Linked DNA regions of Oryzias latipes. The protein of the gene in region 1 interacts with the protein of each later gene in a pairwise test. Links are inferred from orthologs where the notes say so. Each region holds a gene or a part of one and is shown on either strand. Other genes may lie near its edges.

The links.
Region 2: the proteins of tmem218 (region 1) and creb3l1 interact in binary tests that used the Homo sapiens proteins (3 or more experiments, as listed by UniProt). The link is inferred for Oryzias latipes from reciprocal best matches to the Homo sapiens genes TMEM218 and CREB3L1.
Region 3: the proteins of tmem218 (region 1) and pcna interact in binary tests that used the Homo sapiens proteins (3 or more experiments, as listed by UniProt). The link is inferred for Oryzias latipes from reciprocal best matches to the Homo sapiens genes TMEM218 and PCNA.

The regions. Positions count from the first base shown.
Region 1 is NC_019872.2:1,108,451-1,119,097, forward strand, and holds the start of tmem218 (transmembrane protein 218), read left to right. Parts: upstream 1-5,646; 5' UTR 5,647-5,870; intron 5,871-5,945; exon of another isoform or gene 5,946-6,327; 5' UTR 6,328-6,346; coding exon 6,347-6,456; intron 6,457-7,320; coding exon 7,321-7,423; intron 7,424-10,647. UniProt on the Homo sapiens protein: May be involved in ciliary biogenesis or function.
Region 2 is NC_019860.2:23,106,880-23,117,082, reverse strand, and holds part of creb3l1 (cyclic AMP-responsive element-binding protein 3-like protein 1), read right to left. Parts: intron 6,702-10,203; coding exon 6,550-6,701; intron 5,239-6,549; coding exon 5,163-5,238; intron 4,347-5,162; coding exon 4,144-4,346; intron 3,173-4,143; coding exon 3,026-3,172; intron 2,951-3,025; coding exon 2,892-2,950; intron 607-2,891; coding exon 538-606; intron 1-537.
Region 3 is NC_019867.2:6,547,229-6,557,911, reverse strand, and holds pcna (proliferating cell nuclear antigen), read left to right. Parts: upstream 1-3,666; 5' UTR 3,667-3,908; coding exon 3,909-4,129; intron 4,130-4,346; exon of another isoform or gene 4,347-4,776; coding exon 4,777-4,874; exon of another isoform or gene 4,875-4,963; intron 4,964-4,969; coding exon 4,970-5,037; intron 5,038-5,056; exon of another isoform or gene 5,057-5,112; coding exon 5,113-5,307; intron 5,308-5,389; coding exon 5,390-5,513; intron 5,514-5,587; coding exon 5,588-5,664; 3' UTR 5,665-6,011; downstream 6,012-10,683. Other genes in the region: putative aminopeptidase W07G4.4, read left to right, coding at 1-73, 150-268, 352-435, 528-585, 1,406-1,587, 1,675-1,815. UniProt on the Homo sapiens protein: Auxiliary protein of DNA polymerase delta and epsilon, is involved in the control of eukaryotic DNA replication by increasing the polymerase's processibility during elongation of the leading strand.

The DNA.
Region 1 (10,647 bases):
GTCCCCCCCCCCACACACACACACACACACACAGCCATCAGACTGTACAACACCGTGTTACAGTGACACACTATGGACCCACGGGTGTTCTTTCTTTTCTTTTCATTCACTTACTTATGTAAGGGTTAATGGCCTTCGAAGTGTGCAGTTACTACTTTTTAACGCACGCCGTGGAAGCCTTCGCGGAGGACGGTTGCTTCCGCGAAGTGCGTTAAAAAGTAGTAACTGCACACTTCGAAGGCCATTAACCCGCTTATACCATGGTCACTTACAAAAGCAATACATATTAACCAGGTTTTAGTCCTTAATTCTTGTTTTTTTTTCCGATTTGGATCACTTTTCTCATAAACGTCGCGCAGCACCACCGCTGCAGTCAAGATTCGGCGATATAAATATGCTGATCGTCCCGATGGGTTGAATAAAGCATCAATTCAGAGGGAAAGTTAATCGCTTACCGCTTGTTTTTGCCCAGATGATGAAGCAAAAGGTTGTTTTACAGAAGCCGGCGCAGTGATACAAATCATTTAAGCTAGCCGACCGGAACTTCTTTTTTCACCGTGCGGTTATCAGGTTTTAACGCATACCCAGCAGCCAATCAGAATCGAGTATTCACCCGGACCATGGTATAATTACGTGTTTATTCACAAACTGTTGCAGCTGTTGTTGTTTCCCAGTAGTTTTTTATGTTCTTTAACGGTTGCTTTTGCTGTGATTTTTACTTATTTATTTTTGTTTAAATTCACTTTATGACTTTATCTGAAGATGTTTCTGAACTGAAGAAACTGGGAAAAGGGACGTTTTGAATTTTTCCTACAGAAAAAGTTGAATTTAGCAGGAATTTACCAGTTTTGAAATGCAACCCTGATGGACTGAAAAACTTCAAACATTTGATCAAATACGTTCTTCTGGGGAGGAGTTTGATTTGTGGAAGAAGCTAATGAGGGCTGGAGGATCCTCCTTTTTCTAGTTTTCCAGGTGATATCGGTAGTTGTCCTGGTAGTGTGCTTGCTCTGTGTGTGTGTGTGTGTATGTGTGCTTGCTGTGTGTGTATGTGTGCGCGCGGTGTGTGTGTGTGTGCGCGTGCGTGCGTGCACGTGTGTGTGTGTGCGTGCACAGTTCCATGTGTGTTATGTTGTGACATTAAAAACTGTCCTAAGGTTTTAAATTATACTGAATTCATTTGAAGTGACAGTTAGATAATAAACACATGCAGATGTGCCACAAATCCTCAGCTACTCGGTAATATATTACACAGAATATTTAGAAATATTCTTTTTAGCTTCAAGAATTTTTTTCTAACTGGATCTCTTTAAATTTTAGTTGAAAATCGCTGAGCTACATGAAAAAAATGAGAGGTTCAATCAATAAACAGTAATACATTTAAATTGAGAATGCATCCTCTGCAGATCACATTTGACAAACAAATAAAAAAGATCACATCATGTGCCGGCTTTGGGAATGGTTTGAAGTGGAACAAAAATCTCTGAAGTGCATTAAGCAAAAGTCTTGCTAAAGCTTTTCTACTTTTGTTTGTAGTCTGGCTTTGCAGAAGCAGACCTCTGCTTGACGTTTTCTGGAAGAGGTGGAGGCAGAAATCAAGCTGGTCCTCAGCGCTGCCGCTGGATCCCTCAAGGTCTGCTTAAAGCACAGCCACAACAGAGCTGGCTGCACAGCCAAAAGCCAGAAGGTTGTGTCCTTAAGCCGTTCAAAAAGCCCTCCGCCCTCCTCTGGAGAGCAGCAGGGTCACGCGGGCTCAGTGGCCGTGGCCTGTAAGGCCCCCAACACGGCTAAAACACGCAATGCAGTTGTCTTTAGTGTTGCTGCACCACTGAACACGGAAAGCCAGCTGAAATCAAACTACAGAGAGGGGGTAGAAGGAACTTCCTGTAGGATGTTCCAGTGACGCCCAGCAGACCAGTCTGACAAAGAACTCTCAATAGTTGTCTTCATTGCAGAATTTTAACCTTTTAGATGTTTCAAAAGATAAATAAGTAAACAAATCCCAACCTTATTACAGAAGTCCAGTTAGCACTTTCATAAAGAATAGATGGATAATTACTACATGATCTTATTCATCTGTTTCTGAATCAACAAGACAGGAAAAAATAAAGGAGAAAAGAAGCAAACAAGATGATGTCATTTCCTCTTCATAGGTTCAATCACACAAATGTTGAAATTTGGTTTTTACGTATGCCATCCTGGCTTCGTTTAGCTTCCTCATTTAGTGCGACTGAATCCCTCTTTTGGGGATTATTCCCCCCCAAAAGCTGCAGGAATCCACAGCATTACACTCCATCCTATCATTTATCCATACAGCAGAAATGAGAATATGCAAATGTGCTGAAGTTATTTTGCGGCTCCCAAATATGCCCCTGGGCTGCTTGTCCAATGACACAAATCATCAATTAAGATCTCAGCAGGACTTGGTGAATAAACTAAATTAGTCTTATCCCACTCTGCCAATTCATACAGAGCGGCGTGGGGAGCATCACAACAAAGAGCAAACACCTTCTTCGTGCTCCGTTGAAACTCATTCCCCGCTGAATCATCCACTGACAAAAATACACTTTCATCTGACCGCTGGGAGAGGAAACAGGCCGTCTCATGGTCTTTGAGCAGCGACAATAGCAGCATTTCTCAAAGCCCTGACTGCCACAGAGGGGGCCGCTTTACTTCCTCGTGGCATTTTACAGCCCACACCTGCCAGGCTCTTCTGAGGAAAGAGCTGAAGTGGTTCAAATCACCGCTGGGATTTCGAAGGAAGGCGGATGATTAGTAAACAAATGGCTCAGACATATTTGATTAAGCTGATGGATTCTTGATTGTCAGGCTTTTTTAATGAATCGGTTTGACAGACATTTTAATTTCACTGACAGGAGACAAAAACTGAATATATTGTGAACCTAAAAGTAGTAAATTTGCAATTTTTAAAGTCACACATCAGTTCCAAATCTGCCTTCTTGGTGACAGGTGGAAGTCTACCATTTCTGAGTGACGGAGCGACTTGAACGGACTCCCTAAACGGCTGAAAGCTGGTGGACAGAGTGCTGCTGGACGCCAACGGGCTTCCAGGACGCACACACTGAGACTGAGAGCTGTCAAAACATGCAAACCGTCATTCAAGCACCCAGAGAGTAAAGTGGGTGACGTGGGAAGACGCAGACGGACAGACTTCAGCCAGGACGCCTGCAGGTCACACACACACACACACACACACACACACACACACACACAACAAGGATTCGCACAAGCATCAGCCAAACATCCACAAACAGAACACAAGAGGAAAGTAGCGACACAAACAAAGGAGCTCAGTTACGCAAAACAAAGAGAGAACTGCAGCAGCAAAAGTCAGCAAGCATCCAACCCATTTTTGATTTCTTGGTTTATTTGTTGGGTCAGAGTAAATGCAATAGTCTTCTGTCAGTCAGAAATGTGCTGTTGAGAAAAGTTTACAATCATATTCTTCCAAAAGAATAAATAAGTGTAAACAGCAGAAAACGTCATCACAAACTTCGTTTAATAATTTAAAAAGACTTTTTTTTCTTTCACATTTTTCTACAAGTTAATATTCTCACCAACTCTAAAAAGATACTAGAATGATGTTAAACAATGAAGTAAACAGATAAATACACAGGTTACCAGCGGCTGCAGGACGCACACTGACACACACACGCACACACAAAGACACACACGGCGGCGGATCTCCAGCGCCTCGACTCTGCACCTCTAACTACACAACAACAACAACAACAACACAACAGCCAGCGGATCCAGCATCCCAAACAGGCGCAGACAGAAACGGCCGCTCTTCCTCCACGGTCCCAGCAAACTGCATTTCCTCCTCTTCCTCTGCTTCTCCTCTTCCCCTCCCCTCCCCTCCCCTCCTCTGCCTCTCCGTCTCCTCCCTCCCTCCCTCTCCGGCCTGGCTGGGTGTCTGCCTGCCTGCATGAATAATGTCCTGCCTTTTGTAATGAGGGGGGGAAGGGGGGAAAGGCCGCTGCAGGGCTGCAGCTCTGCTCTCATGCACTGACACTGAAAATGAATGACAGCTTACCTGCATGCCAATCTTCATCAGACTGACACTGGGCTGACAGCACAGCCTATACTCCTCCACACAGCCGCTGACGTCAGCCAAGCCAGACTCCTCCCACCTCCATCTTCATCCATTTTCTTCTGTTTCCCGACCCGGGCTGCCGATGCCTTCCATGTCTGTGGGAAATACGGCCACCGCGGGCAGTTGCAACTGGAAGACGCCGATTGGATCACGAAGATCAGGTTTCACTATAACAAGCCTAAACTTCTCGTTCCATCATCTCCTGTCTTGTTTTTGTTGAAGGCACAAATCCCTGCATTTGTACTTTTTTATTTTTTCAATAATTTGAAAGCAGGAAAGACAAGCATGTTATAAATGCTTTAAAGCTATTTTGCTTGTAAAGTCATAATGAGATTTATTTTACATGAATGTGGCATAAACGTAAACTCTCTAGCCTAGGCTTTAATGTCTTGTTTACTAAAGACATCAAAAATCCTCTTCTGCTATTCTGTTTTTTTTTTATTCAAATTTAAAGAGACCTTTGACTGAAAGCGCAATTCAAAGAAGTGTTCGGTATCATGAGACGTTTCATCTTTCATGCTGTGCTCCTCCAGCATCTGTAGTGACTGGATGGCTCAAGGGAAACCAGCGTTCTATTCCCAGGGGCGCGATGAGCTTCTTCCAGTGTGGGTCCTTGGTCAAGACTCTTCATGCCGCTGCCTAACTACGTAGCCACAAAGGAACCCGAGTCTGGGTCCCCGGTGCCGGTCCCCAGCCCAGATAAAACACAGGGTTGTGTCAGGAAAGACATCCAGCGTAAACATCTCTGCCAAGCCTCCTGTGTGAATCAGTGACAGCTGTGTGTGGCGACCCCTGCGGAAAGGTGAACAACATGCTGAGTACGTCCTGCACGATGGATGTCTGGACACAGCTTGAGAGGTTCAGGCTGATCTCAGAACCAGCATCTTGGGTCAGCTTGTTCTGCTTCTTTGAGTCTCTGGTGCTGCTGGACCAGCTGACACACAAACTGCAGCATCTTACTGCTAACATCAGGCATCTTTGTTCTTCTCCAGGAAGTAGCACTCTGACCTTTAGTGTGTGTGTTCTACTCCTCCAGCTTTCAGTGGTCATCCCTCACTTCCACCTTTTATCACATGATGGAAAAAATGTTCAGCTTGTTTATTTTTTATTGATAAACCATAAAGTTGCTTTCAAAAGCAGCCCACTCACTCTCCTGTCCAGATCAGTTCACCGCACATCTGCAGGCAACTTATATTTACTTTGAATGAAATGCTAAGGAATATTGAAGCCATCCCATTACATCCCTGCACCGGTTAATGAAGGAAACTGCTTTCAAATATAAATAACCTAAGAAGGCACAGAGCATGTGAATCCTACATTCTGCCTTTGGCTGACCAGAAAATTCATTAAAAATCCTTTGTTTCAGCTTTTCTTAGTTTATTTCTCTGACTAAATGTCTAAATGCTCAGATGCAAAACTGCACTACAGCTGAATTATTCACCTCAGTTAGCCTTTATTTAGACTTCTCACAAAATCACTGACAGTGAAATTTGGCAGCTTTGTCTGTTTTTATATCTATTATTTTTATTGAAAAGCTCCCTTGATCTTCTAAATTGATCACCAGACGCCGTGAACACATCAACCTTCTCGGGCTTTTTTAAACAACAGTGCATGGAAGTTTCGAGGGTACCCTAAAGGCACCACGTCTTCGCACGCTGCTGAGCGTCAGCTCCAGCCAATCAGTGAGCGGAACACCCGCGGTCCCCCTGCGGATCCGGTCAGCCCCCCCGGCGGCTGTGGAAGGTTATTTAAGGCACGTGTTTTCCTTTACCGCCTTTTGTTCCGTGAACATTGAATTTTAAATGATTATCGTATATAAATATGATTCGTTTCCCCACAAATCTCCCAAATCCATTTTTCTCCTATCTGTCCTGAAACATGGAGGCGGCCTTCTGATTGGCTCTGTTCGAAGTAACCTCACAGCCGATTGGCTTATCTTCCACTTCATTTATCCAATGAGAGCAAAGCTTCTGGTTACCAGGAAACGGTGAAAAGCGCAGACACTGGGAATATAGCTTTAAAACTTGAGCGCTCATATATTATTTTACACAAAGCACGCGCGTGCGTGTGCCACGCTGACCTAGAACCAACCGGAAGGAGGACGGGGCTGAGCCGGAATCCCGGGCGGCGGAGTTCCGAGCTGCCGCCGGCCCGGAACCGGCGCCGCGGTCGCCTCTACATGATCATCACATCTCTGTTGTCGTCCGTAGACAGACAGAGAGCATCAGCATGGCTTCCCCCGTCCTCCAGGTGGGCCCTGGAGTCCTGATCCTCGCCCTCGTTTGGGTCGCGGCTCTTGCGTTCGGCATCCTGCTGCTGAGAGCGTCCGGATCTGCCAAGTGAGTGGGAACCCGAACCGGAAGGCCTCATTCAAATGCTGATGCTTCTCCCTCAGCTCGTGATGACGTGCTTCATACACACGTCCAGTTGAAATCCTGTAGTAGGTTGTGAATCATCAGCATCAGTTTGATTTAAACTGAAGACTTTGATTGACAGCATGATGTCATCAACACACCAGCACTGAGCCCTGAGGAACACCTCGAGATTTGTTCAAGTCGTCTTCTTTCACACATCAGGATTTTATCAAATACTCCATAAATCTGATTTTGGAAAGTTTATCTTTGATCTCTTTGTAGAAAAAGGTTAAACATCTCATTGATGGACCTTTTTCTCCTGTTCAGACTGAGCTGACAGGAGAAAACCGTTTCATAATAGTGGGGGGTATTTCTGCCAAAATACTGCACTGATTAGATGATGATTAAAAGTTTACTGATTAATTCAATGACATTTATTTTTACATTTTCCCTTCATGAAGTGGTTCTAAAAAACCACTTCATGATTTAAACTCAAACAAAGGTGGAACTTGTATCCAAAAATGTGAATTATTTAAAGAAAACCACCTGAATAAGCTTTTTGCTGTAAACTACTGGCTATTGTTAACATGGATTTGATTCGTTTGATGTAACCTTTTTTCATGACCCTGTTTGGTTCCGTCACACACATCCTTTTTTCTGTAGACATCAGCAGTGTCTTGTTTTTCTGACTTCTTGAAACATCCACAGTGTCCATGCAGTGATCACAGCATTTGATAATGTAACTGTAGTTAGATTACACAACGTAACCAGAAATTACTCCACCAAAGCTCCCAGAGAGCCGCTGATGACGTCCTGAACCTCTGAATCTGAACCGTCTTCCTCCTGCAGGTTAGGAGTCATCCCTGTCTTCCTCCTGGCTCTCTCCATCACCTTAGCTCTGGTCGTTTTCCCTCGAAGCCCAGAGACTCCTCCCCCTTTCAAAGAGAAGGAGGTGAGCTGGACGCACATCACACTCCTCTCACAACCTGCTGCTGTGCAGCTGCAGCTGACTGCACACCGTCCTTCCTCCAGTCCCATCAAGGATATGAAGTGAAAACTTCTGCTTTTTTATTTTGTGAAGGGCTCCCAGAAGCCGTTCTCCTTCCCCAGCACAGCTGCCAAAAGCAGCAACAGCACCCCCCCACTCTGAGTGCAGTAAAGACCCTAGCAGTATTATGGGCTGTTATGGCGGCACATGCTTAATGGAAGCATAATGTGGCTCATTTGAAAACAGAGCAGTCTTGATCTGGTGCCATTGGGATTCATCACCACCAACTGTTTTGGGTCCAGACGGCCGTGTCTGCATCCAGAGGGTCCAGCTCAGCTCGCCGCTCACTAATGCACTCAAAAGGATGTGGTGTCTGAGTTTCACACTTATTCTGTGTCTGCGGACAAAGAAAGCAGAAGGGAGACGATGCCCAGCCTTAAGTGAGAACAGGATTCTGTCTTCAGCGACAGCTGATTGTGCTTCAGCCTGTGTGCCTGCAAATAGTGTCACTGTGGGAATTTCTGCACTTGTTGTGGAGGCCTGCCTGCTTCATCTTGTTCCAACAGCAACACACAACAAACACTCCCCCATGTTGCCTCAGAGTCGTGCCAGTAAGCCGACTAGCTCTGCCAAGCAAGCTGCCGCCCCACTGAAATAGGCGAGCAGAGCGGCGTCCTGCGTGCGTGGCCTCTGTCTGACGGCCAGACCAGCAGAGACGCTCTGGGTTTCCCTTCCAGACTCCACAGACAAAGATGTCAGAGCCGCTCAGACCTTCCGGTTACTTCACTCCTGTCCTCATGTGAGCTGCTGCTCCCCTTAGCAGCCGTCAACTTGATTCAAATCTCACAAAATATGATTCAGAAAAAGAGAACATGATAATGATGCTACATTTGTTTTTCCTAAAAATACAGTTCATGGAAAAGAACTGGATGCAGTGAGAATCCTTTGTGTCTGCGTCTCAGCTGCCAGCAGAGATGCGCCCACGAGAGGCGGCCTTAACCTCATCCTGTTAAGCTCAAATAAAACATCACACCACCAATTACACCAGTCCTAAACTTAGGGTGGGGGTGGTCTATTTAACACCCCACTCCCCACCTGCTCCCACGCACAGGCACATTAATAAAACATGCTCCACACACTCAGGCTTCCTGTTCGCCGTCTAATTGGCAGATTAAAACCTGAGGTGTGTTATTTGGATCCATCTCTGAATGACTCCCTTTGTTATACCCGCCTTTCTTAGACACAAGAATGCTTTTCACAGGCATCATCATCATCATCATCATCATTAGGACTATGATCATCTTGTCTCATTCCATAAAAGTCACTGTCTCTCTGTACACAACAGTTGGGCTGCTGTCTCCTGTTATTTCTGCTTGAGGCTTTTTTCTCACTTTGTCGTCTTGTTTTCCTTGGCGGCTCATAAATTATTAGCGCACTCTGAGACATCAGTGAGCTTTTGGAAAATCTCTCTGAAACATGAGTTTCTATACAAAGAAGCATCAACATCTGTCGGAGAGGCTTGTTGTTTCTTCAGGATCTCCTCTCCATTCTTCATATTTTATGTACCGATCACTGAATTACTGAGACCTGTCTTTCTAATGTAGTTATGGTAAACTACTGCACTGCCGGCATTTTTAACACTCACTTTAAAAAAAGCTAGTTCACCAACTCGGCAGGTCTCTGGAAGGCAAAGTTTGCCCAGTCTTTGGATTTAAAGGTGGTGACAGGCTTTTGTTCTTTCAGCGTCCTTGTTGAGTCCTTTAATCGTGTCTTCAGAGCCGAAATAAAGAAGCCAGGAATTTGTATTTTAGGTTCAAGAGAACATTGTTCAGCTCTCTTTATTTACTGCTTAAATGACTGCATCCTGTCATGATGATATCCATACTTACATCAAACCCAAACTCTACTGTGACAGTAGTGGTGCTGCACTGAGATTCCTGACATTTCCTTTTCTTTTTACAAGTTTCTTAAAAAATATAACTCTTACTGACTGACTTTGCTAGTGTTAGGGTTTTAAGTCAATACAGTTGTGATTCATTTTTTACTTTAATAAATCCCATAAGGTAAGTTAGGTTCCTAGGGAGTGAACTCTGAGTCTGTAAATGAAGACGTCTCCCATCAAACCATATCCTTTCTGTTGGAACTGCCGTCCATTCAGTAGCTTGCAGTGTGGAATATGGACGCTTCAGTGCTCTGACCAGGTCACCATAAACCACTTCTACACCTGAGCTACATGGTTACAGGTGTCTTCACGTGGCTGTGACAGTAACGTAAACCCAGCAGCAGCAGCAGCAGCAGCAGCAGCAGCAGCAGCAGCTAGGCCATTGAACCTCCAATTAGCTGTCAAAAGATTCAATGAGATTGTGTCATAGAACATACCAGCACTGACTGTCTGCTCTCATCAGCTGGTTCACTCTGTCCTCAGCCTCTAAGCTGAAAGAAGACGTGAAAACTCTAGCTAGTTGAACTGAGGCTGTCTCACGGTGATGGACCTAAACTGTTGACTACATTCCACTATGGTCTTATTTAAACAGATCTTGTAACTGTATAACCTGCAGTTGTGTGTGGTGGTGTGGTATCTGATCCCACCAGCAGCTGCTTTTTTAACTCTTCCTGTGTTTGATGATAACTCTGCCGTTACAGTAGACGTCTGGGATAAGCTGCTCTCTTGTATCCAGTATGAATTTGATACAAATATGAATGTAAAACCAATCTATTCACCGCCAGACCTGCAGAAACTGGGAAGAAATGTGTAGAAGTGAAAGTTTTCAGTCTTTGAAGGTTTTTTTCATTCACACAGTTTACTTTAACAACGGAACAAATATAGGACTCACAATCCCCACATCTCCAGTTTTCTCTACTCAAGACATTTTTTAGGTATGAAACTATATCTCCAAGTTTCAGACATTATGTGTTTGCATATGATCCTTTTCTTCACACCGTGACGTTCAATGATACCAAAACCCTCCGGTTCTTTCTGCTGCATTGGTATTTAACTACAGAGTGAGTGCATTTTCTCTGACCTGTCAGCAGTTATTGTACCTGTACATTTTACGTTTTTGTAACCACAACATTCAAGCATAACCCAAATTTACTGAGAACCTTTTTTAGGCAACTGGTTTCCCAATATTTCCATATAGGCTTTGCTAAAGTTTCTTCTTCATATATGTTCAGATGATTATGTTCCT
Region 2 (10,203 bases), on another chromosome or scaffold:
GCGCCGCCACCACTGAGTGGAGACAGAGAACCGGGCTCAGCGCCCCGGGACCTGCCTTCACTCCGGTTCTCCATCAAACTCTCATTCCAGAGAAATGCTCCACAGAGGAGCAGCAAACTTCTTCCACAAGAAAAACGACTTTTTATTTCCTCCTTCTCTGGATTCGATCGTCTTCCCGATAGATCCTGAGCTCATTTGAGGATGAAAATGTGCTGCGCAGAGAACAGAATGACCACTAATCGCTGCATTTGAGGCGTTTTCTTCAAGTTTAAATTTAGTTTCTGCCTCTCAACTTCACCGTTCTGACTCAGCGCCCAGCTCATTGTTCCCCTCTGTGAGGTGGTTTGGTTTTCATGATGAAAGCTGCTGCTCGCCTAATGACAGGCCTCAGACCCCTCTACCCCTCCACACCCGTCTAACCAGCAACCCCCCCACTCCCGGGATAATAGCAGATCATATAGTTATAATAACAGAGGGGGTGACACAGCCGTCCACGCTCAGTTCGATCTGCGTTCTGAGGAAAAGCGCGACCCTCACCTGTTGGCCGTCTCCAGGTTTTCCACTTTTCTCCACAGGTCGCCGTTCTCTGACGTGTAGCTCTCCACCCTGAAGGAGGCAGACATCGTCCTTCAGCATCTCTGTTAAAGTCTGACCAACCCAAAACAGGGGCTCGACTTTTCCAAACAGAGGCATCTCAAAGGAAACAGGAAATGTTTCACCTCCGTTTTTCTTATGGGACACTTTTTAAAAAAATGTCACACTGTGGATTTAAATACCACAAATATGTCATTTAGGTCGACTTGAATGCAGTCTAACATGGAATAAAAGGAGAAAACAAACAAAGAAAATGCTTCAAACGACTTGTGCCGTGTTACATAAAGTGTGTAAATAAATAATTCAAAGGAGAATAAAAGGACGATCTGCTTCATGATTGTTTTCTTCATATTAAATTACTTAAAGATGCTCAACAGCTACATATTTTTAACAAACGAGAGCTGATTCAGATCCATTCTTAACCTCCGCTTGACGTTTGTCCCGAAAGCTTTAATGTGGTGACCAGACGACAGCTGGGATGGAGTCCAGCGACCCCCGTGACCCTGTACCAGAAATTATACGACATACCCTTATCCACAAGTGTTCAGGACTATAAAAGATAAAATAAAAGAAGGAAAAAACCTAACTGTTATGGTCTCCATTTTTTTGGGGGGGGGGGTTCTGTACGGTTTTACTTATTGTTTGTGTTCTAATAAAACTGCTGCTGCTGCAGGCATAATCTTTGTTATAAGTTTTTTTTAATAAAGCTTTCAAAATGAACCTCTGCCTATTTTGTTATTTGGTAACTGTTCTTCCGGATTTAAACTTTGATGTTATCGTTATTCAGAGTGAAATAACATCTAAACTTGTTGCATCTCCTTCATTAGAGGCTGCAGTTGAAGCAGATCGCCACTAGGTGGCTCTGCTCTTTATTGCATCGATCCCAAATCTTACTTTTCGACTCATTATCATTAGTCTTTTTTTATTGATAAATTATATACTAATATTTTTGTACCAAACAGCATATGAAAAGTGTAGACAATGAAAGTTATTTAATGTACTTTTTAAAGAATCCTAATACAGGCTATAAAAACAAACAGCATTTCGGGGGGGGAAAGAGACGAAAACATTCTAATTTAATTTTAATAACTTATAACAATCGCTGTCAAAAGTTTAACATTTTACTTCGACTCACCTAAAATGTTTTCAAATATACGTCAGAGCGATCCTTTCCCAATTTTTCAATTTAGCTGCTAATATTAGCGGAGCTTTCCTCCGGATTCCGCGCGGCGTAAACTCCGACATCTGATTGGCTGTTGTGATCATGTGACACGGATGCAAACACTCTGGATGAAATAAACGCCTTTTTTCTCTGTTTTTATGGGGTACAGCCACTTCTAAAATAAATAGTCTGTTGTTTGTATTTCTTTGACAGTTTCTCTTTTTTAAATTAATTTATTTTAAAAAAATGTTGTGTTTCTTGACCCCGCCACGTTTTTCATGAACTTCCTGTGTGATCCTAGCAATTAAAGCTTGGAAAGAATTTATTTCTGTTGGGATTTATAAAACCACAAGTCTACACTAAAATTATTTCTTGGCGAATGTTTTTAAATAATTGAAAAATAGTCTCGGAGTGCTAGTTGGACTATAAATATTTTGGCAGGTATTTCTTTAGTGCAGAGACACAATGTGATTACAAAGCAGATAAAAATGTTTGTGTGCGTTTCGATTGATTCCTAAAAGAAAGCTGCTCCGTCACTGAGGTTTTAGTTCAGATTAAAGTGGCATTTTAAGTGTAAAATCTTCAGGATTAGGATTATTGTTACTCTGAAAGGAATGTTAATCCATGTTTAGATTTCCTTTTCATGACGCTCCATGTGTTCAGCAGACTCCTGGAACCAGGTCAAAGTGAATAAAAAAGTTTTTTGCTCTTCATGAGTCTGGTAGGTCTAAAAAGGCGACTGATGATGATGATGAAGAAATCTTCGTTCAGTTAGGGCGCTCAAACATTCGTGACCACGCCGGCCTCCAGCTCCGCCCCCCAGCAGAGCCGTACTGTCATTCCGCGCCACGGTTAGGAAACCTCCAAACACAAAAGCTGGCCCTGAAGTGAGCGTTTGCTGCCAGCTCCACTTCAGCATTACACAACTGGATCTGCTGAAGGTTTTTCCATATTCTTCAGCGATAAATAATAAAAATCTAGAGAGGGAAAACCTCGGTCTGTAAACGGATGATCCCAAAGGAAGCTCAGAGGAGATGTGAATCTCCCAAACACCTTCTGACCTCACAGATGCAACAACTGGGCGTCCACAGACCGAATTAACCAACAAATGTTTCTGAAAAATCAAAAGCCTTACTTTTTCTCCAGACAGTCCACATACTCCTTCTTCTTCCTCCGACTTTCCTGAGCTGAGATCTGAACAAAAACATGTGATTTGTCACCAAAAAGGAACTTTGTAAGATGGAATTTTTTTTCTTTCAATTAGTTTGCCTTGTTTTTAATCTTCCGCCGGACTCTCTTCAGCGCCTTCTCCTCGCTCTTGGTGAGGGGAAGCTTGTTGGGGACGGGGTACCCCTCTGCCACCAGCGTTCTCTTCTCCTCCTCTGTGAGCATGAGCGGCCCCGAGCCCTGCAGCTTCTGAAGAACACAACGGAACAATAAAAAACTCCATGAAATCATTTTCAAACCAAACTTTTATCACCAAAATGAAAGCTGTAACTCTTTGGGGGTCAGATCCTGTCATAAATAGGCCCAGGACACTCAGAAATACAAATAATGATGGATCAATTCTCAGTTTGGACACTAGGTGGAGCTGTTGTTCCCAACAAGGCAGCTTTTTCACAAACTAAAGAGGAATTTTGTCGTCTTTTGAGGAAATAAAACGCTTCAAAACAAATCTGTTCTAATGGCTGCAAGCTCAACAAAAAAAAAAAGGAAATAACAGCGCTAACGCCTATATACAAGCCGTGACATCAGCAGGAAGTGAAGGTAGCACCAAAAGTTCTTTCTACTAGACCCGTTTCCCTGACCGGAATCAGAGTACATGATGGATTCTGTGGAGCTGCTTGGTCTGAGGTGATGAAGATGAATTTAACAGTATATTTACTTAGTTTCCCCCCACCCTAATCTTTTGCGACCTCTCCTAACCTTCTAACCCAAACAGCGGTTCCTGAAGCTTCACCCTCCGACCTGAAACCTTCCCTTTCTCCGGTGTCTCCGTGCCGTAAACACGTTGGGTTGAGTCATAGGAAAGCTGCTGATGGATGGAAGCCCCAGAAAATTAAAGGACGCGTTTTGAGGCGACTGAATTACAACCAACACCCACTCTGGCCACTTCAACGGCGTCTATTCCAGCCGCGTCATCTCAGAGGCGGTTGCTCGAATCGGCAGAGTCATGCTCTGAGGAGAAGCACGAGCAGCAACGACGCCTCAGAGAGACGGCAGGTTATTGACAACCGTTTTCTGTTAAATGCTACAAAAAGATAAGAAAATGATGATTTTATTCTCAGGAAAAAACGTCACGATTTGGGCTTTAAAGCTGAGGAAAGTTTAGAAGGAAAATGAGCTAAACAGCAACGAAATGGGAAAAAGGAGGAGCCGGGACTCACATGTGGAGCTGTGAGGAGAGGCGAGGAGGAGATGGCTGAGGAGGAGGCGGAGGAGGAGGAGGAGGAGGCTCGACCTCCTGGTCTCTGTTGTGGTTGGGGGGAAGACGGCAGCAACGGGAGGTGTGGGGAGGAGGGCGGCAGCGAGCCATCACTGTCGCCGTGGTTACTGCTGGGAGGGGTGGGTGGGAGCTGAAGGGCATCGTCTGGAAATAAAAGGGTCGGAGTTAAAAAAAAATGTAAATAAAAACCCGATAAAAGTCACCTTTTTGGAGCTGATCTGACTTTTTAAGGATGACTTCTGCTTCTGACTGACTTCAGGAGTCTGCAACCTTTAATTAAAAAGCTTTTAGGTCCAAGACGCCCTGACATAAAACCCACAAAAACTCGTCTGACCCTGAAAATAAATTCTCATGCGCTCCAGCTTGTCTAAAAGAGAGAAAAATATGCTTTTTTTTCTGCATAAAGGAACAGTTTTTGTTCTGTTGTTTTGAATATTAGCACTCCATTAGTAAAGTTAGTTCATTGTAGTGGTCAGGCCTGGACAGGCCTCAGAATCAGAGATTTTCCCTTAGAAATAATCTCAAAATGAACAAAACTCCAAAATAAAGTTGATCTTTTAGTGTTTTTTAATCAATATGCTGCATTTTCACGCAGAGCTGCAGACTCCTGATCCAAAAAAATGGTTTCAGACAGAAGCTGAAGTGGTTAAAGTCTCCCTCTGGTCATCTTTTTATCTATATGATGATGCTGTTTTTGGGCAGAATTATTAAATATGTCTCATTTTCTAGGTCTGCTCATGATTTGAATAAATAAAATACTCAGAAACACAACTTTTAGCCCAATTTTCTTTACTTTTCATCCGAGTGGGTCTTAGAATGTTCTAAAATTGAAAAAAACGAAAAAAATAATTCACTTTTCAACTAACATACTGCTTGTTTATGTAGATCTGCAGCTCCAGATCTAAAAAAGGCTATCAGACATGTGTGCAGAAGGTGAAGTGCATTGGTTGGGGTGCGTACCGCCTGGCAGGCTGAGGTACTGGCCAAACTCTTTGGGTTCGTCCTTTATGGCGACCGGATTCACGTCGCCGCTTTCCTGCGGAGACAAACAGGCAACTGTAGGGCCGTGCCACACAGACAATACGTACATTTTGCGCATTTTCCACGGATCAAATTTCTTTCGACTTTCGTCAAACATGCTTGATAATTCAGGAGTTTCTTGCTTTCGTCTTTCGTTGATGTGCACAGATGTCCGTCGAGGGTTTCGGCCGTCGGGCCTTCACGTGAAGTTTGAGAATGACGCCGTTTAAGCGTATTATACGTAGTTTATACTGCAATTGTGCGTGATTTTTGCAGCATGCAAAATTGTGTCTTTCCACAACCGTTCCTAACGCAGTGTTTTTCAACCTTTTTTGAGCCACGGCACACTTTAACCTTGACAAAAATCTCGCGGGACACCAGCATCCAATAAAAAAAAGAAAAAAGAAAAAGGAGAAACTCATAGTCTGTATTGATCTACAATCCCTCCACAATCTCACATGCATTTCTGTGATAATTGTGGCAGAAAAAGCTGGAAGCTGCAGCTGTTTGTTCTAAAAATTGTAATAAAAGTCAAGTTAGAAGATTTAAAAACTGATTGATGTGTGTTCGTTGTGGTATTAAGACGTTTAACAGAGAAGACTCATTGTGCGCTGAGACACTGTCACTTTAACCCAATGCATCATGGGAGATGTAGTGATGTCAGACAGACCCTCTTCTCTGAGCTTCATTGTTTTGTTCACTTGTTCCACAGTCTGACACTGATTTTGTTGAAAGCTACACCGCTAAAGACGAGCTTTAGCTGGTATTTTTGTTAGAACTGAGAGACTTTATGAGCAGAATCAGAACAAGGAAGTGAAGACTTTAACCACTTCTGATTGGTCAGACTGATGACGTATGATTAAGCCTCCAAGAATGATTGGTGGAGACAGTTAAAGGGGCGGGACTTCTCTGAAAATAGCTGTAGCTGCGGCTAAATTTCGGTACCGTCATTCTTATCAAAATGTGAACCACCGATGTATAACTTTTATGTTTCACATATCATGTTCAAATTACATAAGTGAAGCATGAATCCCTCATGAATTGCATATAAGCAGCACAATATTCAGGCACGGTTCATGTTCTACGTTGATTTACGTGTCTTTTGTGTGATTTATTCGTACTTCCGTGGTTTTAACATGATTTGTTTGTGATTCATCTGTAAAAAATGTCACATCAAGACCACAACTTTTCTCACTTTCTCCACGTATGACCAGTTTTCATCCGTGCTATACGCGCTAAATGTACGTAGCGGCCGCGTGACTCGATCTTTAGCGTCCTCGTCCCTGGTCGGGTTTGGCTGGAGGTGTCACGGGGGATGCAGGCTGACCTTGCGTTTCCACGACGACGGTCTGTGTGGAGGCGAACTCAATGTGAGAGCCGGGCCTTCCGAGGGCTGAGCGTCTAACGTGTGAGCGCCGTCGTCTTCCTCCTGTTTGACCAGCATGGCTGACAGGTCCTGACTGAAGTGCCACTCAAACTCTGGAGAGAAGGACAAGAGCAAGAATTTAGACCATTTTGGTTTTTTCACATTCACAGAAAAAGCAAAAAACAAAACCTCAGCTCGTCTGAGCGCAGACAGACGAGTTTCCTGTCATCTCCAACAAGTGGAGCGAACCGCCAATCCCCAGAGGAACTTGGGTAAACTAACCGCTTCATCCCTTCAGGGAGGCTCTGCTGTAGGTCTGCCAACCAGAAACAACCGGTAGCTTATAAATCCCACTTTGAAAGAGCTTCCCCAGAATATTCCAGCACTTCCTGACTAAGCTGGTTATTACAGACTTCTGGACAACGGCGCTTTGGCAGCGGCGGTGCGTAATTTGTCTCCGGTGAGTTTGTGTAGACCCTGGAGTGAAAAGATGGGCCGCTTGAAGAGCTGGAGGAGACAGCTCCAATGCAACAACCTATTTTTAGGGATTTGAGAATCCGACGGGAGCTGAGAAGGTCTGAAAGAGGCTCCAGGTGATGCAGGAAACGAGCATCTCTGTGAGGGACGGACGGACGGACGGACGGACGGATGAGCATCTGCTTTGCATCAGGAGCCTTTATAGGTGAGGCTCTGCAGAAGCGTCTCATTAGAGGGGGAACGAGGTCTTTCTTTTTGCTAGAAACAGTAAAAACAAAAACAAAAGTAAAAGGCGAGTCGAGGTGCAGCGGTGGGATGAGAAAGGCCTTAAGACAGGAAGGACACTTTGATCCCTGTCACAGCACACAGGTGTGTTTGCCGTTAGCGTCGGGTTTAATCACTTCCCGGTCTCCTAGCAACGTGGTGCTGGCAGGTTTACGAGCAAGGGTTTTGTGTGTGTGTGTGTGCGTGTAGCTCCGCCCATCACGCAGCATCATTAAAACCCCTGTGGCTTCTCTCTGCCGCCCTGAAGCGCCAAGAAACCATCCTAAGGACTTTTTTTACGTTTTAAAAAATATTTGAGAGCTGATTTTTCTAAACGAGACGACAGTTTTTTACGTTTTGCAGCTGGTTTGTGTCTTCTAATGTTCCTTAGGCTTAAATGTGACAAAAAAAACAAAAAAAAAAAATCACAAAATTCAGGGTTTTAAAGTCCTTTAAAAGTTTCCGTCAGGTCAAAGACAAACTTGTGTCGTGCCGCTGATGCTTTCGGCCGAATCAAAAGGGATTTTACAGAAACTGATGATGAAATTATATCATCTCTACGAGGCGTTACGATTTCAGCTGCTGACATTGAATCAAATTTGACACTAATAAATCCAGCTCAGGCTTTCCAACACTTTCTGAAGGTTTATTCTTGTAAAACTTTGACTGTTTTTAGAAAAAATGTGTTATAATTTTCCAAATTTTTCTAAAAACCCAATTAGAATGAGTATTAATGCCTCTTTTTTCTTATACAACAAGTATTTCTCTGTCTTGAATATGAAACTCTAAATATTTGTGGAGACTCTGCAGCAGTAGACACCGACGTCTGACTACCGTCAAAACTTTGTGGTTTGGGGGCCGACATCTACCTTTCCAGCATGTGATCTTTATCAGAGAACGCCTCCTAATGAGGCCCGTCCTGCTGCTCCCGGAGCCTCGTTAAGGCCTTGATTGGAAACTTTCCTAATGCAAACCAGAAGCTTCCAGCTGTCAAATCCTGCAGGAGAAAGTCCAAGTGCTTCAGTGGCTTCACCAAAAAAGATGATAACTGTTTTTTTCATTTATTATAAGATCTAAAGTTCTTCCCAAAAATGTAATATTTCTACTTCTCTAAAGTGGTACGGCCTGACCCCCACCCCTCCCTCCTATCTCTTCCAGCTTTATGGGATGTTGTTAGTCAAAGCAGGTCTTCCTGTGTGGGTAAAAGGCTGTAAGTGCAGGTAAGAAAACCTGTTAATGAGCGGGGCTCCGGGGCCGTCGTCCCGGGGGGCTGATGGAGAAAGGCGCGGGCGCTGCGTTTGATCTCGGCTGGGAACCGCCAGCATTAAAACATTAGATGGATCAGCGCAATGGGAGCTGCTGTAAAGAGCGCGGCGTCCCTTTGAATAGACGAGAGCGAAGACGAAGACTCGCAAAGTCATCAGATTTTCAAACACAAAAAACCCCTCCTTTTTTTAAAATTTATTATCCATATGTTATTAACATATTTATATTACCGAATGAAATTAGCAAGATATTTAACTAATAAAACCAAATAAATAATCAACAAATTGAATTTACAAGACACAGGTAATGATTAAGGTGCTGCACTGACTTCCTGATTGAAGCTGGTTTAAAAACAAAAGTACCTGGAGCCAGGTTATTACACCAGGTCACCACTAGGGGGATTTTTACCCTGCTTTGTTTAATCTACAAGTGAACTGGTTTAAGATTAAAAAAAGGAGTTCTTTTGACACTTTAGGTGTCCAAGAGATGCAACCAAAAGTAGCATTTGTTACGATTCCAGCTTCATCCTCAGACAGGAAGTTGTCGTGTGAACCCATTAAACGGCGTCAGGAGGTGCAGCTGATTGGACGATAGCCCGGAACAGTGAGGCTGACAGGTGGGCACACCTATACTGTCACAGCGGATGTGTTGACCTCTGTTTGCTGTTTTTACCCCATTTTTTTCCTTATTGTCTAGCATGTTTACACGTTCAAACCAACCCCCACAAGCTAACTAGGAAGTCCCAAATGCTGCAATTCCTCAAATGACCACGGGACGCTGTTCAAAAGTTAAAAAAATAATAATTCAAATAATAAAAATACAATAAAAATGTTATGAGAGTTCAAATTTGAGTGTTAAAAGGGGTGGGTTTTTTGATTGACAGGTGGGTGGACATGAGTGGGTTAGAAAAAACACATTTCTGTGCTATAAATGCAATTTCTGTATGATTTTAATATTTTTTTTATGAAACTGCCACAAATTCCCCCCCCCCAGGTGTATAAAGGTGTATCCAACTGTACGGCAGGTGGTTCCTCTCTGTGGTGAAGACTCGCTCTGATGAAAATGGTGTTTTTAACATGTTCTTGAAGCAGAAAATCGAACTTCAAATTACTTGTTTTCAATAGTTTTTCTTCAAATTGCAGACTAAAAAAATGCTGTTTGTCAAAGAGCGGGTTTGTGACGTAGAAAGAACGCTACGGTAGATGACTAAATCCACGTTAGAAGATCGGAGAGGGACTTTAAATGTATTATCAAATATAAAACAATTATTTTTTGGAAACCCCTCCATGTGGAAAAGTTGTTATTGACCTTTAATTGGTCTGAGTCATACTCTGAGTCCAATTATACTCAGCAAGACCCAGAAAGCCCTTCACCGGGAGCAGAACGGGCTTCGGAAAAGGTCAACAACTTCCAAATGAGTAAACAGTGATTGTTTCGGGGGGTCTTTGCTGTGGGACCCCAGCTGCGATGCAGGCTCAGAGGGAACAAAAAGCATTAATGTTATGGATTTAAACTACCTTTGGAGGATGAATCTCTGAGGTCTAATCGGTCACTTTTATGAGCTGCATTAAAGACAGAGGAGGATCCAAAGAAAACTGTCGGCTCCGC
Region 3 (10,683 bases), on another chromosome or scaffold:
TTAGCTCACCTGCAGCCAAAGCATCTGAAGGTTGTTGGCTCGATGGCCATGGTGAGGAACAGTGTGGGTGCAGGTCAGTGAGGATCCTTTAAACTTGTCATCTTTTTTTCTTCTCTGAACTCATCCCAGCTGCCTGTGTGTTTTCTCAGACTGCTATGTGGCTGATGAGCTGGTGGTGTCCCGCGCTGGTCGCAGAGTGAGGGTGGGAAACACCGATGCGGAGGGACGCATGGTGATGGTGGACCTGCTCTGCGAGATGAAAGAGAAGGTGCAAAAGGGTTCATTAAAGTCCCATGTTGTCCCACTGGACTTCAGTTTTGTTGTTTCTCGTTGCATCATTTGTCTCTTTAGGCCCCGCGGGAGATCTCCCCTCACCTGTTCACGATTGCCACTCTGACCGGTCACGCAATCCGAGCCATGGGGCCCAACTACTCTGTAAGTCCTGCAGCGAAATTAACCATATGTGAATAATTATAGCCCAAACTACCGAATGTGGAGATGTAATCTCTTCAAACGGGATGTTTCAGATCATCATGGATAATGGGCCAGCTCATCGCAGTGGGAACGCCGCTCAGTGGCAAAAAGGTGAATCAAATCTTCACAGTTATAAATCTTCCCAAATTTTTTCACCACTTTTATATTTTCACTATTTTTCAACACTTGAAGTGGCAAAAAAAAAATTATTGCCACATTTCTGGGTGGAGTTTTGTGTCTGAAACTGTGCTGTGAATCATACTATTTGGTTTATTGATCGTAAAATTGTCTTATTTTTTTCTCCTTTAAATGTTTAGAGTTCATTTTGCTTAGCAGGAAAGACAACGCATTTGAAGACTTTTAGTCTTTGATGTTATAAATGTACTTTATTACAATAATAAATCTATTAAAATGTAATACATTTACATACTAAATCTGGTTGGATCTGTCAGTGCTTCCTGGAGTAAAATTATGGATCAGACAGAACTTGAACTGCAGAAATTGACAGTTTTAAAATCTTTTGGCGTGCAATTTCCAGGTTATCCAGCAGAGGGCGCTTGTGTAACTTTTTCAGAGTTAACAATAGAGAGAAAGGGAGAAATGCTCAGTGCTCACGTGTTGTGTGATTTTATGGAGCAATGAGTTGTATAAGCTAGAGACGCTACACCAGCCTGTTACCATCGTCCAATGTACGTAAAGATTGACACCATATTGGAAAGGGCAGTAAACAGTGGCACACACTTAGCAGATGAACATGGCATGCTTAATTTTGGTCCGACTGATCATCACAAAAATAAAAAACAGGGTGTGGTATTAATGTTTTTGTGCAAGGTGCAACAGATGAACGACATTTCAAACGTTTTCATTATTAAAAGCGTTCTATAGGAAACGCAGAGTATACGTTTACAGATCTTTGTTCTTCTTCCCACAGCTGGAGAGGTTCTAGGTGATGTGTTTGAGGTCTCCACGATCAGACGGGAGGACTATGAGTTCCACAAGGGCAAGTCTGAGTATGAGGACATTCTGCAGGCCAACAACCTGCCATCCTCCGCTACGCCTAGAGGACATCAGAGCCCCGCTGCTTTCCTCATCATGGCCTCGGGACTAGACAAGGTGCTCATATGCTACCAGGAAGCAAAAACGTCTTGGTATGGTGAAGAAAATGCATCAGTAAGTCTAACTTCTGATTTTCTCCCACAGCATGGTGTAGATTCTGACACCCCTCTGCCATACTCCCACATTGACATTGCTGGGTCCAGTGGTCCTTTCCCGGGTGTTCCAACAGGGGCTCCTGTGCTTGCCATGACAACCAACTACATCCTTAAAGATGGTCTGAATTAAAAATCTGAAAAGGCAAAGTTGTATTTTCCAAGTACAGTATTACAAAAAAAAAAACTATCTTTAACATCACAAATGGTTATTTCTCCTCCTTTGTTTACAACTTTAAGCTCTCTTCCTGTCAAAAGCCTGTTGGTTTGCTTAAATGGGTTATATACTCAGGGGTTGCTTACAAAAACATTTCATTTTGTGAGCATTAAAAGTATTTGGAAAAAGCTTCTTTTTTTTTTAAACTTCCTGTTGTTCGTGTCACATCAAGAACTGCACATTGCCTAATAAAGGTTTTTACAGCAACTTTATTGTTCAGATTGGTTTATTTTGAAGAGTAGTGTCACTAATTTTGGAACAACTCTTGTATGAGGAAGCACAGATAAATATATATAAAAATGGCAGCTCAGAAGCTGAACCAGTGACCTCAAGAATGTTTGAGGTGTTTTTACTTTCATTAAAACAGCACTGAGACAATGCCAAAGAAAATACTGGTGAAGAAATTACATTTCCTGAGTGTAATTTTATATATAAAATTAGTTTTGAATCTGTGTGTCAGCTTTTCTTATTTATTAAAATGCAAATTCCACATAAAACATCAAGCAATCATTGACAACATCCATGAGGTTAAAGTAGTAAAAAGAAACTTGATGCTCCATACATTTAAACTAGTCATAATCGGTGTTAACAAAGTCTGTATTGTTCAGTAAGATGTTGGAGTCAGTGGAAAGTAAAATTGATACTTTCCACTGTAAAGGTTTGCATCTTTAAGACTCAGGAGCAGAAGGTGTAAAAAAAGGGGCAGAATATTTGCTCCAGTGATAATATTAAAAATTAAGCAAATAAAATAAATGTGAAGATGAAGTTTTACTGATGTTTTGGATATACTTGATTAAAAAAATTTTTTTAACTTTTCTTACTCAGCAAAATTCTATTCTTCTCAATATATTCTCATCAATATAAACATAAAAAGAAAACTGGAAAGGATAATCAGCTGTGTCATAGAAAATCATTCAATTTCACTCTTTTGGTCTAATTGGTCTAAAAAAAACATTTACAATTGCCAGAATATCAGCTCTGCTTTCATCCAAACATGAAATATGAAAAATCATACAAAAAATTTGTCTTCGTGTTTATTTGATTCTTATTCAAGACTCTTTGATGAGAATGCGTATTGTTAATGCAGTCGAAAGAGTTTTAGTGTGTGTGTGAGTGATGGTGGTGTGCCTTGGGATTTTGATAAGAGGACTTTGGCCCGAGACAGTCTGAATATTATGCATTATGCTTTAGTAACATCATTTAAACGTTTATCTTTTTGTTTTGTACATTTGTAAATGATGCAATTTTCTTAAAACAAACATATGTGTAAAACATGAGACAAATTAATATTATTCAGGCATTCAATGTTACAAATGTACAACAACTCCATATATTGATCAACATTAGGAGCTTATTTCCTCAGATTTAATTAATATAGTAACTAGTGTCATTTTTGCAGGACATCTGATGACTTAAGAAAACTCTTCTCACTTTATTTTAAGAGTATTATAATCTACCACACCAAACAAGAGAAAACATTTATTTAACCAGTGTTTTGTTAAGAATGAGGTCACTTTCTTTTAAAAACAAAAACAATTAGACCTTTTAATTTCATTCTAAAATATTTTTGTAATATTTTTAAAAGTCAGAAATATTCCCAATTTGTATTAAAAACTACGGGAATATGTTTTACATGCCCAAAATGTGAAAATAATTCTTTTCAACAAGCAGATTCCTTTTTAAATCTCTAAACAAAAATGTTTTTGCAGATTTGCATCCAGCTTCCGTTTTATTGACGGAAGTGTGTCACACGTCCGGAAATGACGCAACGACGCAGCGTTATTAAACAACAGGCGTTTGCGCGGGCTTCCAGCTCAAATCTTGTGGTTGTTGTAGAAGACGCGTCTGTAGCCCGCGTGCCACACAAAGACTGAACTGCCAAAGCCGCTTTGTCATCGCCTACGTCGTGATTACTCCTCACTGCAGCCTCCTTTTACCGGAGCAGCGCTGAAAACCTCCACCAACCTTTGCCTTCTTTTTCGATCTACGCAACCCTCCACAGAATAACCATGTTTGAGGCTCGCCTGGTCCAGGGCTCCATCCTGAAAAAGGTCCTGGAAGCCCTGAAGGATTTGATCACAGAAGCCTGCTGGGACGTCAGTTCGTCCGGCATCTCTCTGCAGAGCATGGACTCGTCTCACGTATCCCTGGTGCAGCTCACTCTCCGGCACGACGGCTTCGACTCTTACCGCTGCGACAGAAACCTCGCCATGGGAGTCAACCTTAGCAGGTGACGGGGAGAAAAACAACAAAGTTTAATAAGAGGGAAGCTTCGTGTATAATCTGCATGTCATGTGTTCTGCCTATTAAATGTATTTAAAGTGATTATCAGGGGCTGACTTCAAGTTCAGACATTTACGAATTGTTCATGGTAATCGTGTGTGGCGCCAAAATCATCTTGGACGAGTGAAACGTCGATCGTTGTGAGGCCGACAAAGGAGGCCATCTTGCTGGAGAAGCCCGGGCATGTCTCCCTGCTCGGTTAACTCTTTACTGTCCACTCGCTGATTTCAACCAGCAAAAAAACAAAACGTCTAAAACGTTGACATGTGCAAATATGTCTTTGCGCTGTCACAGAGCCGCACTTGCTGCGGTACTTTAGCGCCAAAACTCTTGCCGGCAGTGTTGGCGGGAATCCTCAAAACCCGGGAACTTGCACTTCCGCTTACGTCACTCTTTCATAAGAGTTTCCGGAATTAGATTAGCATGTTGATACAAATACTTGGATCATTTTTTTTAAACATACCACGTTATCGTTTTTAAAATAAATTTACTTCAAACATAGTACTTTATACTTATAGATTAAAAGGTGACATTAATAAAAGCTAAATTTTTGCTATTCAAATAAAAGCTCAAATGTTTTACTGCTTTTCTCAGTATGTCCAAAATCCTGAAGTGTGCGGGAAATGAGGACATCATCACCCTCAGAGCGGAGGACGCCGCTGACACTCTGGCTCTTGTGTTTGAGACCATCAGTAAGTTTCTAACTGTTCGTCATACGGAAACTGTTCATCTGATGAAAATCCTCCAAAGTCTTTATGCTCCTTTTCACTTTTCTGTGTTCCTGCAGACCAAGAAAAAGTTTCAGATTATGAAATGAAGCTGATGGACCTGGATGTGGAGCAGCTGGGCATTCCAGTAGGTATTTTTTAATTACCTCTTCTGCAGTATTTCCCAGCATTCCCTGATCTTCACTTTCTTTGCTCCTGTCAGGAACAAGAGTACAGCTGCGTGGTGAAGATGCCCTCCGGGGAGTTCGCCCGTATTTGCCGTGACCTGTCGCAGATCGGCGACGCCGTCATGATCTCCTGTGCCAAAGACGGTGTTAAATTCTCCGCTTCGGGAGAGCTGGGCACGGGAAACATCAAGCTGTCCCAGACCAGCAATGTGGACAAAGAAGAAGAGGCCGTAAGTATGAGGGGTGGATCTGTCCTGCAGAGGAAAATCGGTTTGTTTTGACATCGTTTTGTAACTTCCCGCTTTCCTTCAGGTCACCATTGAGATGAATGAACCCGTCCAGCTGATTTTTGCTCTCAACTATCTGAACTTCTTCACCAAGGCCACTCCGCTGTCAAAGACTGTAACCCTTAGCATGTCTGCTGATATCCCCCTTGGTAAGGTGGCTTACGTTGTGTGTCCGTCATCACACCTGCTGAAGCTCGACCTCATCACATTTATCTGTTCACAGTGGTGGAGTACAAGATTGCCGATATGGGACACATCAAATACTACTTGGCCCCGAAGATCGATGAGGAAGCTTCTTAAGTTGGAAGCACAGACCGAAAAGGGGGGAGAATGCAGGTGATGGATGACTGGGACTCCTCCTGAAGGACTGAAGGGATCTTACTGTGGTGAACTGTGGTCACTCTGAGGTTCCTGGGCTCAAAATGAAGTCCAGGGACGCTCAGAGTAGCTGGCAGACACATCTGTCGTAGTTTCCAGCAATTGTTTTAGGCCTGTTCTCTCCCTCTTTTTATCCCGTTTGTTTGCAGGTATCCATTCTGTTGTAGATAACACCTCTGTAAATAATTCCTGTGGCGTCACACTGCAAGCTCCAAATGTTTTGTACTCATAAATTCAATCGGAAATAAAGGATTCAAGTTGTTAAAAAACGTTGTTTGCTGTCCACTTTATAGTTTCACTAGCAAACCTTTAATAAGTGCACATGTGTGTGGGTCAAACTTCAGATATTTTTGTTATTTTTCATCTGTTGGTATGCAATTCAAATAGATTTTATTTTTTGCTCCTGTCCCAGAGGAAAAGATGTGTAACCAGAAAACGCCCATTGGGTGGTGCTATTCCCCCTTTTTAAGGTAGAAGAGGTTTCAACGTGACCAAAAAATCAGCTTTTCAGCATGAGATATTCCAGGTTATCCACAGTGTTAGGTTGAGCTTTACAGTACAGTGAACAAAAAAGCAGCTCACTTTGATGGTCTGATTGGGATTTAACCACATAATCTGAGTTCTGAGCCTGCTTTCAGAGAAATTACATCCCACAGCATTATTAAAGTGGACCACCTTCAAATGAAACAAAGATAATCTACATATTCATGCAAATACATCAGACTGTGGGTCTGTTAAGTTCTGTTAGTTTTGCCTTGAATCTGCGTGAATATTTTAATGACATGCTGTTTTTGACGCGCAAATCAATTTCCTTTGCATGTTTTATTGCTTGTTTTAATTATAACAATCTTAACCCTTTATACTATTTCCATCTTTCTTTGTTGAAACATATTAACCAAAATAAAATTACTTCACCAAGAAAGACTTGACACTGGTGCCAAAAAAATGCTATTATTGTGAAAAACACAGGATATAGAAAAATTATTAAAGGTTGTGTAGTTTAACCCCTTCATGCCTGAGTTTATTTTCAATTCTTCTTCCACTTTCGGCTTCTCCCATCAGGGGTCGCCACAGCGAACAAGTCGCATGGTAAATTTGGCAATGTTTTACGCCGGATGCCCTTCCTGGCGCAACCTTCTCTAACCGGGCTTGGAACCGGCAGAGGTAGAGAAGGGAACAGGGAGCAGCCTGGAGTCGAACCCGGGTTTCACGGACGGAAGGCGCCGCAAACCAGCACGTTTATTGTGATGCCAATTTAAGTGTAATTTGATTAAATGGTATGTGCTGAATTAGTGACACAGCATGAAGGTTTAACCTAAAATAAAGGTATTTCAACTTAGACATCTTATATCTGTGAAGAATTCTGAGTTTGATAAAAATGTTAAAAATATCTTACAGTGAAACATTGACTCTGAATATAAATGACTGTAGCTAACTATGATAAACATGTTTTGGACAAAAAGAAATAAAATAAAACATTTCACCTAGTTCTTCAAAAATACCAAGGCTTTTGAAAGTAATAGAAAGTGAGAAGAAAGTAAAAAAGTAAATGCAGATTTTTTTTCAAATACCTTTTAGAGAAAATTCCAAATCCTTGATTAATTCATTAAAAAGTAAAGGCAAAAATCAATAGGTCTGTTTTATTTACCTTTTAATTGCCTTGCAGGGATGAGGTGAGTTTATTCAAAAGCAACAAAATTCACATCATGCCAAAGCAGTTTTGATACTTCTGCCTGTTCTAAGTCTGAAACTAAAACTGTACGTTTTAAAAGAACAGCTGTTGCTTGGCAACAAGCCTTAAGTATGTTTCAGTCCTCCGACAAATTGTTTTTTTATGTTTCAGTTTCTGACAGGATTAAAGAAGATGCCACAAGTTAATTAGGGTAGATTTGAAGGTGCTTTTAGAGGGATTTTCTCATTTCTGGACGATGTCAGGGTGCAGCCTTGTGGCTTCTCCTGCGACTGTCTAAAGCAGCAAATATTTAAAATAATTTTCCTCATTTGCAGCGTTCCTTTAATAAGGAATATTCTGATACAGTTCAGAAGCAGGGAGAGGAGTGGACCTCTTGTCTCTGTTATCCCAGAAAATCCAAATTCTATCTAGTAAAAAAGGGGATTTCCTGTCTTTGGATTTATTTCTGTTGCATTCAAAAAACAAATGTTCTTTACAAAGCCTACCACTGTCATGAATGATCTAAATTGACCAAAACTCTTACAGCTTCTTCTGTGTACTAAAATATCTGCTTGGATGTATTTCTGCCCCTTAAACATGTGCACTCTTTTAGATAAGGAGCGGAGTCTGTCTGCAAAAGAAGAAGAGCCGAGTGAGATTAGAACGTCAATTAAAGAAGTGACCGATAAAGCAAAGGCACATTGAATCAATTTAAGCTGCCTCAATATTTAATTAACTGTCACCGTCCAGGTTAAGACTAATCACAAACTGAAGCACAGCCAAGTTCTTTCAAGCTGACTGGGGGCTTCCACTTTTTAATTGGCCATTTTAAGCCTCAGTCAGGCCTCATAAAAAGCATCACAGCTGTAATTTTTACTGAACACTTGGAGGAAGTTGTGACAAAACCAGGTCAGGAAGGCAGTCTGTCTCTGAGCTGAAGGAAAGCTTGTCGAAACTCACATTAACCCTACATAACCATTGGTATCATTTTTGATGCATGCATTTTGGAGACCCCTATCTCAATAGCTTGAGCCAAACTTTCCTGAAAAATCAATTTTCAGAACTTGATACATGTTTTCTGACCTGTAGTTCACCGTGATTCCACTAGAGGCAGTAGAAGTGGTTTCCTTGTTCATGACTCTCAGGACACACCCCTTTCCCTACCTGCAGGCGGCCTTGCCAGGTAAATCTTTTGATCAGTTTCAGCTGTGTCGCAGCCTTTACAGCAAGCACTGCCCAGCTGATCAGTGGCAGAAAGTCTCCAGTTACTGGAATGTTTGCGACTTTGGACCAAACGTTGCTGCTGTTTGGGTCACCTGCTTCCTTTTTTAGTTTTCAATGCAGTGACATTGTTCAGACTCTGTTTTCTTCTATTTAGATTTTGAGCATGAACTGTTTGGATTCTACTCAATTTTGAGCAAAGTTCATTTGGGTTGCCCTGCTGTGCCTCTCCCTCTCTCCTCCTCTGGATGTCTTCAGTGCACATTCTTGGATCCACAACATTCCTCCTCGTGACAGAAGTGAGTGAACCCACTGACATCAGTTTTCACACAAGTCTTCCTTACCTGGGAACAACCTTTTTTCCTTTTGTCACAGTCCTAATGACACGTCCTGGTGGACTAACTAAGGAGCAATTAATTTATACCCACAGAGAATCTTCTTTTGCCCTGTGGAACTATGTTTTTTTTTTTTTTTTTTTTTTTTTTTACATTCTTATTTCTGAGCAGTCTGCATCTTTTGGGTCCATTGAACTCCCTTCCTGACAATCTCAGAAGTACGGGCTGATGAGGTCATTTGAACCAACTTCCATCGATACGGTGATAAATCATTTGGCGATACTTTTATCAATTTAACTGAGCCTCTGACAATTGTTTTCCCCTAAACACATGAACGCTAGTTAGTGGCACCGCACACTGAGACGCTTTAAGCAGCTCTACAGCGCAAAAAACAACTAAAAGATCCAGTTTGTGTGAAATATTCAGTCAGCCCCGTGGCTTTTGTCGTTATGAGACATACATTCAACAAAACTGGATTGGTTAAGGCACATCCATTCTGTTGGGTTTTTTTTCTTATACTGAAAAATATTTTGTGTAAATCAGACAATGTTCCCTTTAAGAACCAATTTCCTAACTTACCAAAGTAAAAGCACTGAGTTCGCCTGGATAAAAGCAACTTGTATGAGAAACGGCTGCCTTTTACAATTTATTACAAAGTAAGGCATATTGATATTCAGGTAGTCTTTTTCTATGTCATGAAAATACACTGGAAAAAGGGTTCTGGTATTGCCAGACTCTTGCAAATACACACACCTACTTAAGTCTTTTTCTTTTAAAAAATGACAGCGCACCTTGTAAAGGGATTAATTCTGGTTGTGCTTAATGATGAAGTAAATCGGAGAGGTACAGGGTGCTCTATCAAAATGTCTTATTTATTTATTTTTTTCTTATTTTAAGTTGCAAACCAGGTGGGGTGTTGCGTTAAAGCATCAAACATCTGGCGGTGTTGGACTGTCTTTATGTGTTAAACAAAGTTGGGAGTTGCATAGTCCAAGTCCAAGACCAAGAGTCACCTCTGCTGCTGAGGATAAGTTTATCCGATCAGCCTCAGAAATGGCAGGTTAACAGCAGCTCAGATTAGAGAGCAGGTCAATGCACACAGAGTTCTAGCAGCAGACACATCTCTACTACTGTTAAAAGGAGACCGTGTGAATCAGGCCTTCATGGTAGAATATCTGCTAGGAAACCACTGCAAGCAGAAGAGACTTGTTTGGGCTAAAGAACACAAGGAATAGACATGAGACCAGTGGAAATCTGTGCCTTGGTCTGATGAGTCCAAATTGGAGATTTTTGGTTCCATCCACCGTGTCTTTGGGCCACGCAGAAAAATAATAATTGTATTTATATGGCGCCTTTCTGGACACTCAAGGTCACCTCACAGTTCAAAAATATGTAAGAGCATAAAAATACAACAATAAAACACAAAACAAGTTAACAGTTAAAACAGCAGTTTAAATATTGTGTGCTGAATGCATGACGAAAAGGTGAACAGATGGACTCTACATACCTGGTTCCCACCATGAAGCATGGAGGAGGAGGTGTGATGGTGTGGGGGGTGCTTTGCTGGTGACACTGTTGGGGATTTATTCCAAATTGAAGGCATACTGAACCAGCATGGCTACCACAGCATCTTGCAGCGATATGCTATTCCATCCGGTTTGCGTTCAGTTGGACCATCATTTATTTTTCAACAGGACAACGACCCCAAACACA